Linked DNA regions of Coturnix japonica. The protein of the gene in region 2 interacts with the protein of the main gene of each other region in a pairwise test. Links are inferred from orthologs where the notes say so. Each region holds a gene or a part of one and is shown on either strand. Other genes may lie near its edges.

Region 1 (4,025 bases), on a different chromosome or scaffold from region 2:
TTTTTTTAGGGAGCAACTAATTTTGAAGATTTCAGCTTGTTCAATTTTGTTTTCATTTTACTTATGTGCAATGACACTCCCCCCACCCAAAACTTCCATAGCTGGCTCTGTTTATGACAGCTGGATCTCGGTATGACACAGTTTACACACTGTGCAAAATCACAAATCTTAGAAGCTGTTTCAGAACAAACAATAACTGGCAAAACCATCAACATTTTTTAAATTCACCATTCAACAAAACAATGTCCTTTCAATAAACAACAAGCCCTTTTATCATTTTCATAAAAGCATCTCAAAATGGTTTCATTAAAAAAAAAAAGTCACTTTTGCGCTGAGCTTCTTAGGATCCTTTTGCAGATTGTTAATACAAATACAGGAGAAGTACTGCCTTTGAAAACTACTACCCTGTAATTTATTAGTGCAGTTTGTTTCCCCATTGGCAGTTAAAGAAATAATAATCAAAAATCCAAATCAAAAGACTTTGCATCTCACCTTCTGTTCCATAAATGATGAATGTTATACCACAAAACAAGATATAAAGCAAAGAAATCTGCGTTTGAGGAGCCATTTTTCTCCCAGGTTGGATTCCAGGTTATTTTCTGTTCTCTATGCGGAAGACACTGGTACAAAGGTCTCTGCTGACTGTGTAGTAGGGAGTACAGCTAAATCCCCTTCTGAAAATGCACCGCATTAGCACTTTCAGAGCTGTTACTGAGATGGAATACAAATACAATCCCTTAGTGTAACACACCTATTCATTACCTGATCCTGATGATGGATGATTTGGCCTCGCATCAACTGTGAACAATAAAAGGTCTTATCCTCATTAATCTGTTTTTAATTCTACAATCCTACGCACACCTCAATTCCCTCTGAAGTATTTACTACTTCATATTTTGAATAATATCAGTGCTACAAAGCAGTGAAATTTCAAAGAGTTTCAGAAGTACTGACTTACAATTCCTGTAAAGAAATGAACACAACAAAAAGCATGGTTGCAGATTACAAATAACTAGGAAGAAAGGAAGAAAGAAAAAAGCTTAGCTATTGCAAAGGTTTGATGAACGCTGGCATATCTGCACCACAATTGGCATGGTACGTGTGCTTTTCTGCAAGAACTGGCCTCCAACTTCCAAAGTAGTTTTTTAACACTTCTGCATATTTAAAATTAAATGAGATATTAAAGCTCCAGCACGAAGATACATAAAGCCTGCAAAGCCATCTTCTCCAACACAAATGGGTGATACATCATGCAAGTTCACCCTGTCTTGAAACACAGATTTGTCAGTTGGTTCTTCTTTAGATGCTTTTTCACCATAACGAGTTTCTCCTCAAAATACCAAAGCAGGAAGTGAGACCTATCAGCTCAAATGAGCTCTGGGCTATCCCACATAACAGCCCCTGCTCACCTCAGCAGCTTGGGCCATCACCTCCTTATCCTTTTTCTCCCTCTTCTCAGTGAACAAAATCAGTATCAGGTGTATTAGCAAAACGTTTTTAACACGCGACTCAACTCCCCCGCAGCACGGAGCTCACCTCGACGCCCCACAGCACCCCCCGCTCACCCACACCCCCATACCCCCCGCCCATCTCCTCTCCCCGCCGGCCTCAGCCCCGTTTCGTGCTGTTCCATCGCTCCCCCACACAGGGGCACTCTCGCACAAGCCGTGCCCGCCCGGTGCGTTGGTGAATCGCGTCCGGGCTCCTTCCGCTCCTCCTGCAGCGCAGACATGGTGGGTCCGGGCGCTGCGCCGCTGGAGAACGCCAACCCGCTCGTGTACCGCCGCTCGGGGGAGCGGCCCGTGACGGCGCGGGAGGAGGACGATGAGCTGCCCGACTCTATCGACGACCGGGAGATCTTTGATATCCTGCCGGCAGGGAGGGGATGGGGGGGTTTGATGCGGGGAGGGCGGCCTCCATCCTGCTTTCCTTAACGCGGCACATCTCATCCGCTCCATTAACGACCCCGAGCATCCCCTGACCCTGGAGGAGCTGAATGTCGTCGAGCAAGTTCGAGTTAAAGTGAGACTGTCTTGTTTTTTGTTGTTGATTTGTTTCCAACTTGTTTGCTCATTACATTGTTTTTGTATTCTTATTTTTTGGCCACACGCCTGTTTGTTTTCCAACAGGTGAACGATGCTGAGAGCACCGTAGTGGTGGAGTTCACACCCACGATCCCGCACTGCAGCATGGCAACGCTCATCGGCCTGTCCATAAAGGTGAAACTGATCAGATCACTGCCCGAGAGGTTTAAGGTGAGTGGTAAAATCGCTCTGGAAAGCAGAAGAGACAGACGGTGTTCAGAAAACAGCTAAATTAGAAAATGAAGCCACTAGAACTTTAGGTTCCATGTTATGGAGGAGGGAAACACTCCAGGCCAAGGAAAAAACTAAACAAACAGATTGGTGCAGAGCTGCAGTTCTGTGCTATAGCATCACAGGTGAGTGAGGTTGTGGTGTAAAGGCACGAGGGCACAGGAGATGGCAGTGCTTCACCTCCCTGCCTGTCGGAGGCTTACTCAGGTGGGAGTGCAGTGTTCTTTTGGACTGGGTTTTATTCTTCTGGGTACAGTAGCTGGCTGTGTCAGGAATGTCTTTCATTGTTGCTTTATTTTGCTATTTTCTTAATTAAATACTTTCATCTTTGAGGGTTTTATTGACTTGTCTCCTTTTTCTTTCTCCATGCTTTTTAAGATGGACGTTCACATAACACCAGGAACACATGCCTCTGAACACGCAGGTAAATGTTTTAATGCTCTGTTGTGTGGTTTTCTTTTATTACTCTAAAAATTAGAGAAAAGATAGATCCCTCCACCTGCAGATCAGCTGTTTGGTACCTGTATGCAAACCAGCCCCTTCTAGGAGATGTTACAGAATGGGAATATGTAATAACAAAACTTAAAAGTGTGTAGTGTCTTAGTTTAAATGTTTCCTTGGACAGCTTGTGCTGTCAAGTCGTCATTGATTTACCTGGAAGGCACAGAAAGAGGGGGGAGAGCTGGAGGTAAATTTCCTGTCCTGTTACATGTGCACAGCTTCCTGCTGCTGAATCATAAATAACTTACTGGTTTCAGATCTGCTACAGAACTGTCATTGACTTTTGGCCACAGCTTTGTGGTGTAGTTAGCATCTGTGGATTGTAGCTCAGTACCACAGCAACAATGAGACTCACTGTAAAGTGCTTCTAAAAGGACCTCTTATACCAATATTTTGACCGGTTCCTTGTGGTATTTCTTTTTGTACAGTTAATAAACAGCTTGCTGATAAAGAACGTGTAGCAGCTGCTTTGGAGAACTCTCACTTATTGGAAGTGGTAAATCAGTGTTTGTCTGCTCGATCGTAATTGCCTGATCAGGAAACCAGTGGTATTCTGCTGTATTAATTTTGTATGTGAGTGATGTTGCTAGTGTTACATGCATCTATGAGCAAAATAAAACTACATTATAGAAGCGTTCCATTACTTCGTCAAAACAAATTAAAGTAGTATGGAGAAAATTAGCTTGCTGGCAGCTATAAAGCTATAATGTAAATTGGCTTTTTCTGTTTGCTAATAATTGCACTGATGGGGTTTTTATCTGAACTTTTAAAGAATATTTGGTTGAACTTGTTTTTAAACAGGTTTCTTACTATCTATAAACTGCATTATGAAAGTGGCTTTTGCACATTGGGTTTCACAAGTATACCAAGCTAAGCAGCAGTTAAAATCTTTATACTCATGATTATTTTGGACTTTGACAGATTTTCCTTTAAACATCAAGATTTTTACAAAGATGAGTAGGTCACAAACAGATTGCTTTAACCTACACATCAAACAGAGGAGGAATTAGTAAATTATACTTAATCCGCATCTTAGCTTTCACCACTACATAATAATAGTAGTAAATAACGTATTGGATGTTACCACTTGCCTCCCAAGCCATGTTACACACAGCAGTCCTATGGGTACACTTTGCACTGCTTCCTTTTTCAGAGAAGCAACAGTATATGCTTAGGTTGTTCATAGTATGTAGTTGAGGAGCATCTTTT
Region 2 (4,782 bases):
ACAGCCACTGGACGTGATCCCAACACGAACAGCACTTTGAGTGTTTCCAACAGGAGCTAGAACTTCGAGCTAGAGTGTCTGCCAGAACAGGACAAAGGCCGACTGGGAGTTGATGACCATAGGGTAAGGCACTTGAGAGTGATTCCAATCTAGGTTATCCTATCTTATAGCACTGAGTGATTCCAATGCAGCAGCAACTGAGTGTATCCAATGCACAAGCCATGAGTGATCCATGTAAGCACTGAGTGATCCAACACAGCACTGAGTGATCCAACACTGAGTGATCCAACACACAGCACTGAGTGATCCAATGCACAGCACTGAGTGATCCAACACACAAGCACTGAAGTGATCCACACCGCACTTAGTGATCAATGTGTTACAGCACTGAGGATGATACCAACACACAGCACTGAGTGATCCAATCAGTACAGCACCGAGAGCACGCTGTAACCAACACACAGCACTGAGTGGATCAACACACAGCACTGAGGATCCAAGCACAGCAGCTGAGTGATTCCAACACACAGGCACTGAGTGATCCAACACAGCACTGAGTGATCCAACACACAGCACTGAGTGATCCAACACAGCACTGAGTGAATACAACACACCACAGCACTGAATGGATCAACACAGCACCTGAGTGGAATATCAACACACGGGCCATGCAAATGAGTGATACCACACAGGCACCTGGAATAGGATCACAACACAGCACTGAGATAGATACCAACACAACAGCATGAGTGATCCAACACGAGCATGAGTTGATGGCCAATGTACAGCACTGGTGATTCAACACTGAGTGATCCAACACACAGCACTGAGTGATCCAACACAGCACTGAGTGATCCAACACAGCACTGAGTGATCCAAGTCCCAGCAAGGAGCTGTGTTAGGAGCTCACCCTCCTCATTGCCCGGCTTGTAGCACTGCCAGATGCGCACGGTCTTGTCGTCGCTGCAGGACGCCAGGCGCTGCCCGCTGCCATCGAACGCGATGCTCCACACGGTGGATTCGTGACCCTCCAACGTGGCACAACAAACCCAGTCGTCCTCCTCCTCGTGGTACAGCTTCACCGTGTCGTCGTAGCTGGCTGAAGCCAGGAGCTGGGACAGGAATGGGATCAACACCCCAAACCCACAGGGATTGCAAAGCCCTGCCCCCATAGAGGACCATTCAAACCCCATCTCTTGGGAGCACTGACTCCTTATGGCCCTGTGGCTCAGATCCTTTCCCATCACACACAGTGATGCCCGCAGGTCCCGCTGCCCTTGAGCTGGGCTCTCACCTCCTGGTTGGGATGCCACACCACGTGCTTGACGTCCTGAGTGTGAGAGTTGAGGACGCTGACACACTCGTATTCCTCCTCTTCATCCACTGCGGGGAAAAACACCTTCCATGAGGGAATGGGGCCAGAAGGGACAGTATTGGGGTCAGAAGGGGCAACAATGGGGCCAGAAGGGACACAGTGGGGATGGAAGGGGCAGCAATGGGGCCAGAAGGGGCAGTATAGGGGGCAGAAGGGACAGCAATGGGGCCACAAGGGGCAGTATAGGGGGCAGAAGGGGCAGCAATGGGGCCAGAAGGGACAGTATAGGGGGCAGAAGGGGCAGCAATGGGGCCAGAAGGGACAGTATAGGGGGCAGAAGGGGCAACAATGGGGCCAGAAGGGACACAGTGGGGATGGAAGGGGCAGCAATGGGGCCAGAAGGGGCAGTATAGGGGGCAGAAGGGNGGGGCAGAAGGGGCAACAATGGGGCCAGAAGGGACACAGTGGGGATGGAAGGGGCAGCAATGGGGCCAGAAGGGGCAGTATAGGGGGCAGAAGGGGCAACAATGGGGCCAGAAGGGGCAGTATAGGGGGCAGAAGGGGCAGCAATGGGGCCAGAAGGGGCAGTATTGAGGACAGCAGGGACACAGTGGGGCCGATGCCCTTGGGGTCCCCTCATTCCCCCCCTCACCTTCCCAGACCCACACGCTCTTGTCCCGGCTGCACGTTGCCAGCAGGCTGCCCGACGGCGCCCAGGCCACCGACTTCACCTCGTTTTCGTGTCCTTCCAATGTGGTGACGCACTGTGGGGGGCACAAGGAGCTGCAGGGCGCCACTATGGGGCTGGGTTATGGGGCTGGGTTATGGGGCTGGGTTATGGGGCTGGGTTATGGGGCTGGGTTATGGGGCTGGGTTATGGGGCTGGTTATGGGGGTTGCTGGGTTAGTGGGCTGGGTTGTGGGCTTGGTTGTGGGGGTGGGCTGGTTATGGGGTGGTTGTGGGGCTGGGTATGGGCTGGGTTATGGGCTGGTTATGGGGCTGTGTTATGGGGCTGTGGGGGGGGTCTGACCTCGAAGCCGTCCTGGCAGCGCTTCCAGATGCACGTGGTGGCGTCGAAGCTGGCAGAGGCCAAATAGGAGCCACAGGGCGACCAGGCCACTCTCCTCACTGTGCGTTGGTGGCCATCAGACAGCACAGCACGGCAAGCCTCCAGCTGACCCTAATAGGGGGGGGGTGGATGGGGGACCCCAATAGGAGCCCAGCCCCCACCCCACCCACGTGTATTAGGGCCATTAAGCCCGCCCCCTCCTTTAAGCCCCTCCCACGCTCCTCTGGCCCCGCCCTTTTTACCCCACCCTCTCGGCTCCGCCTCCTATTGGCCACACCCTCCCTTAGCCCCGCCCCTTCCTTAAGCCCCTCCCACCACCATCTGGCCCCGCCCACATTCACTATGTCTCCGCCTCTACTCGTCAGCCATTGGCTGCGCCCTCTCTTAGCCCCGCCCCCTCCTTTAAGCCCCGCCCACGACCCTCTTAGCCCCGCCCCCTTTCACCGTGTTCCCGCCCCTACTCGTCACCCATTGGCCGCTCCCTCTCATAGCCCCGCCCCCATTCATTGTCCCCGCCCCTACTCATCAGCCATTGGCTGGGGCCTCCCTTAGCCCCGCCTCTACTCGTCAGCCATTGGCTGCGCCCTCTCTTAGCCCCGCCCCCACCCTTGAGGCCCCGCCCCTTCCTTCCGCCCCGTTATCCCCCTCGTTCCCGTTATCCCTCGGTACCGTCCCGCCCCCACACTCTCACGGCCCGGTCCCCGCCGCAGGACGCGATGAGGTTCCCGTTTGGGCTCCACGCCAGGAACCAGCACCGCGCCTCGGGATGCGCCGCCACGCGGCTCTGCAGCACCAGCGCCTCCTTCATCGCGTCGCACCGTAATGACGTCACACCGGAAGCGGAAGCGCCGCCATGTTGCCGCCCTAGTGACGTCACCGCCGCGCTCGCCGGAAGCGGAAGCGGAGCCCGCGGCCTGAGGCGGTGCCGGCTGTTCGGGCCGCAGCCATGTACAACCCGGCCGGGCCCGGGCTGCACGGCAGGGGGAGGCGGCGGGGAACGGCGGGAGGCGGCGGGGGGGGGGCGCTGCCCAAACAACCGGAGCGGAGCCTGGCGTCGGCGCTGCCCGGGGCTCTGTCCATCACCGCGCTCTGCACCGCGCTGGCCGAACCCGCCTGGCTCCGGATCCACGGCGGGACCTGCGGGCGGCAGGAGCTGGGGGTGGCCGATGTGATGGGGACCGTCAGGACCGAGCTGCTGAGGGGTGAGAAACGGGAGAGCGGGGAGAGTGGGGCGGTATAGGGTCCTTATGGGGCTTATAGGGTCCTTATGGGGTTATGGGGTCCTTATGGGGTCCTTATGGGGTCCCTATGGGGCTCGCTATGGGCCCGCTATGGGGTCGCTATGGGGCCGCTATGGGGCCGCTATGGGTTCGCTATAGGGCTCGGTGTGGGGTCCTTATTGGATCGGTATGGGATCGGTATGGGGCTTATTATGGGGTCCTTATGGGGTCAGTATTGGGTCGTTATGGGATCGGTATGTGGCTCGGTATGGGGCTCGCTATGGGGTCGTTATGGGGGTCCGTATGGGGTCGGTCTGGGGCTCCTATGGGGCTCAGTATGGGGTCCTTATGGGGCTCAGTATGGGGCCGGTATGGGATCGGTATGGGGCGTATTATGGGCTCGGTATGGGAATTGGTATGGAGCTGATGGGGCTCGGTATGGGGTTGTTATGGGGTCGGTATGGGGTCCTTATGGGGTTCTTATGGGGTCATTATGGGGTCTTATGGGGTCCTTATGGGGTCGCTATGGGGTCCTTATGGGATAGGTATGAGGCCCTTATGGAGCTCGGTATGGGTATCGCTATGGGGCTCGCTATGGGGTCCTTATGGGGCTCGTTACGGGTCTCATTATGAGTCTCCTTATAGGGTCTTTATGGGGTCTTTATGGGTCTATGGGGTTTTTATGGGGTTTTATAGGGTCGGTATGGGGTTTTTATGGGGTCACTATGGGGTCATTATGGGGTCCTTATGGGGCTCGATATGGGCTTGTTATGGAGTCGTTATGGGGCTCGGTCTGGGGTTGTTATAAGGCTGATGGAGTCCTTATTGGTTGTTATAGGGCCGCTATGGGGCTCCTATGGGTCATTATGGGGCTGAGGTTTGGGAGCAGCCACTTTGTGCTTCCTGCCCCTTCCATCCTTATGGCCCAACAACAACAGCCCCATCCGTGCCCTATTCCCCACCCAGCCGTTCCTATGGCCCCATATATGGGGTCAATGGGGTGACACCCCCCCCAGGAAGAGCATTCCACCCCATTGCCGTGTCCCGGTGCTAATTACCCCCCATTAAAGCTGGGGGCTGTGAGTCCATTGCAGCCCTTCCTGCTGTGGGTTGGGGTGGTGTCAGTGCATGGATCAGGCCCTTAAAGCAAAGGGGAAGGAGGAAGCTGGGCCAAGTTG

The links. The genes of interacting proteins can lie anywhere in the genome.
Region 1: the proteins of CIAO1 (region 2) and CIAO2B interact in binary tests that used the Homo sapiens proteins (3 or more experiments, as listed by UniProt). The two-hybrid records come from large-scale screens. The link is inferred for Coturnix japonica from reciprocal best matches to the Homo sapiens genes CIAO1 and CIAO2B.

The regions. Positions count from the first base shown.
Region 1 is NC_029526.1:9,722,225-9,726,249, forward strand, and holds CIAO2B (cytosolic iron-sulfur assembly component 2B), read left to right. Parts: upstream 1-1,658; 5' UTR 1,659-1,730; coding exon 1,731-1,863; intron 1,864-1,942; coding exon 1,943-2,022; intron 2,023-2,129; coding exon 2,130-2,255; exon of another isoform or gene 2,256-2,273; intron 2,274-2,693; coding exon 2,694-2,739; intron 2,740-3,244; coding exon 3,245-3,342; 3' UTR 3,343-3,459; downstream 3,460-4,025. Other genes in the region: fatty acyl-CoA hydrolase precursor, medium chain-like, read right to left, coding at 493-568.
Region 2 is NC_029537.1:1,034,311-1,039,092, reverse strand, and holds the start of CIAO1 (probable cytosolic iron-sulfur protein assembly protein CIAO1), read right to left. Parts: upstream 3,218-4,782; 5' UTR 3,193-3,217; coding exon 3,043-3,192; intron 2,496-3,042; coding exon 2,346-2,495; intron 2,080-2,345; coding exon 1,968-2,079; intron 1,384-1,967; coding exon 1,295-1,383; intron 1,113-1,294; coding exon 911-1,112; intron 1-910. Other genes in the region: TMEM127 (transmembrane protein 127), read left to right, coding at 3,331-3,586. UniProt on the Homo sapiens protein: Key component of the cytosolic iron-sulfur protein assembly (CIA) complex, a multiprotein complex that mediates the incorporation of iron-sulfur cluster into extramitochondrial Fe/S proteins.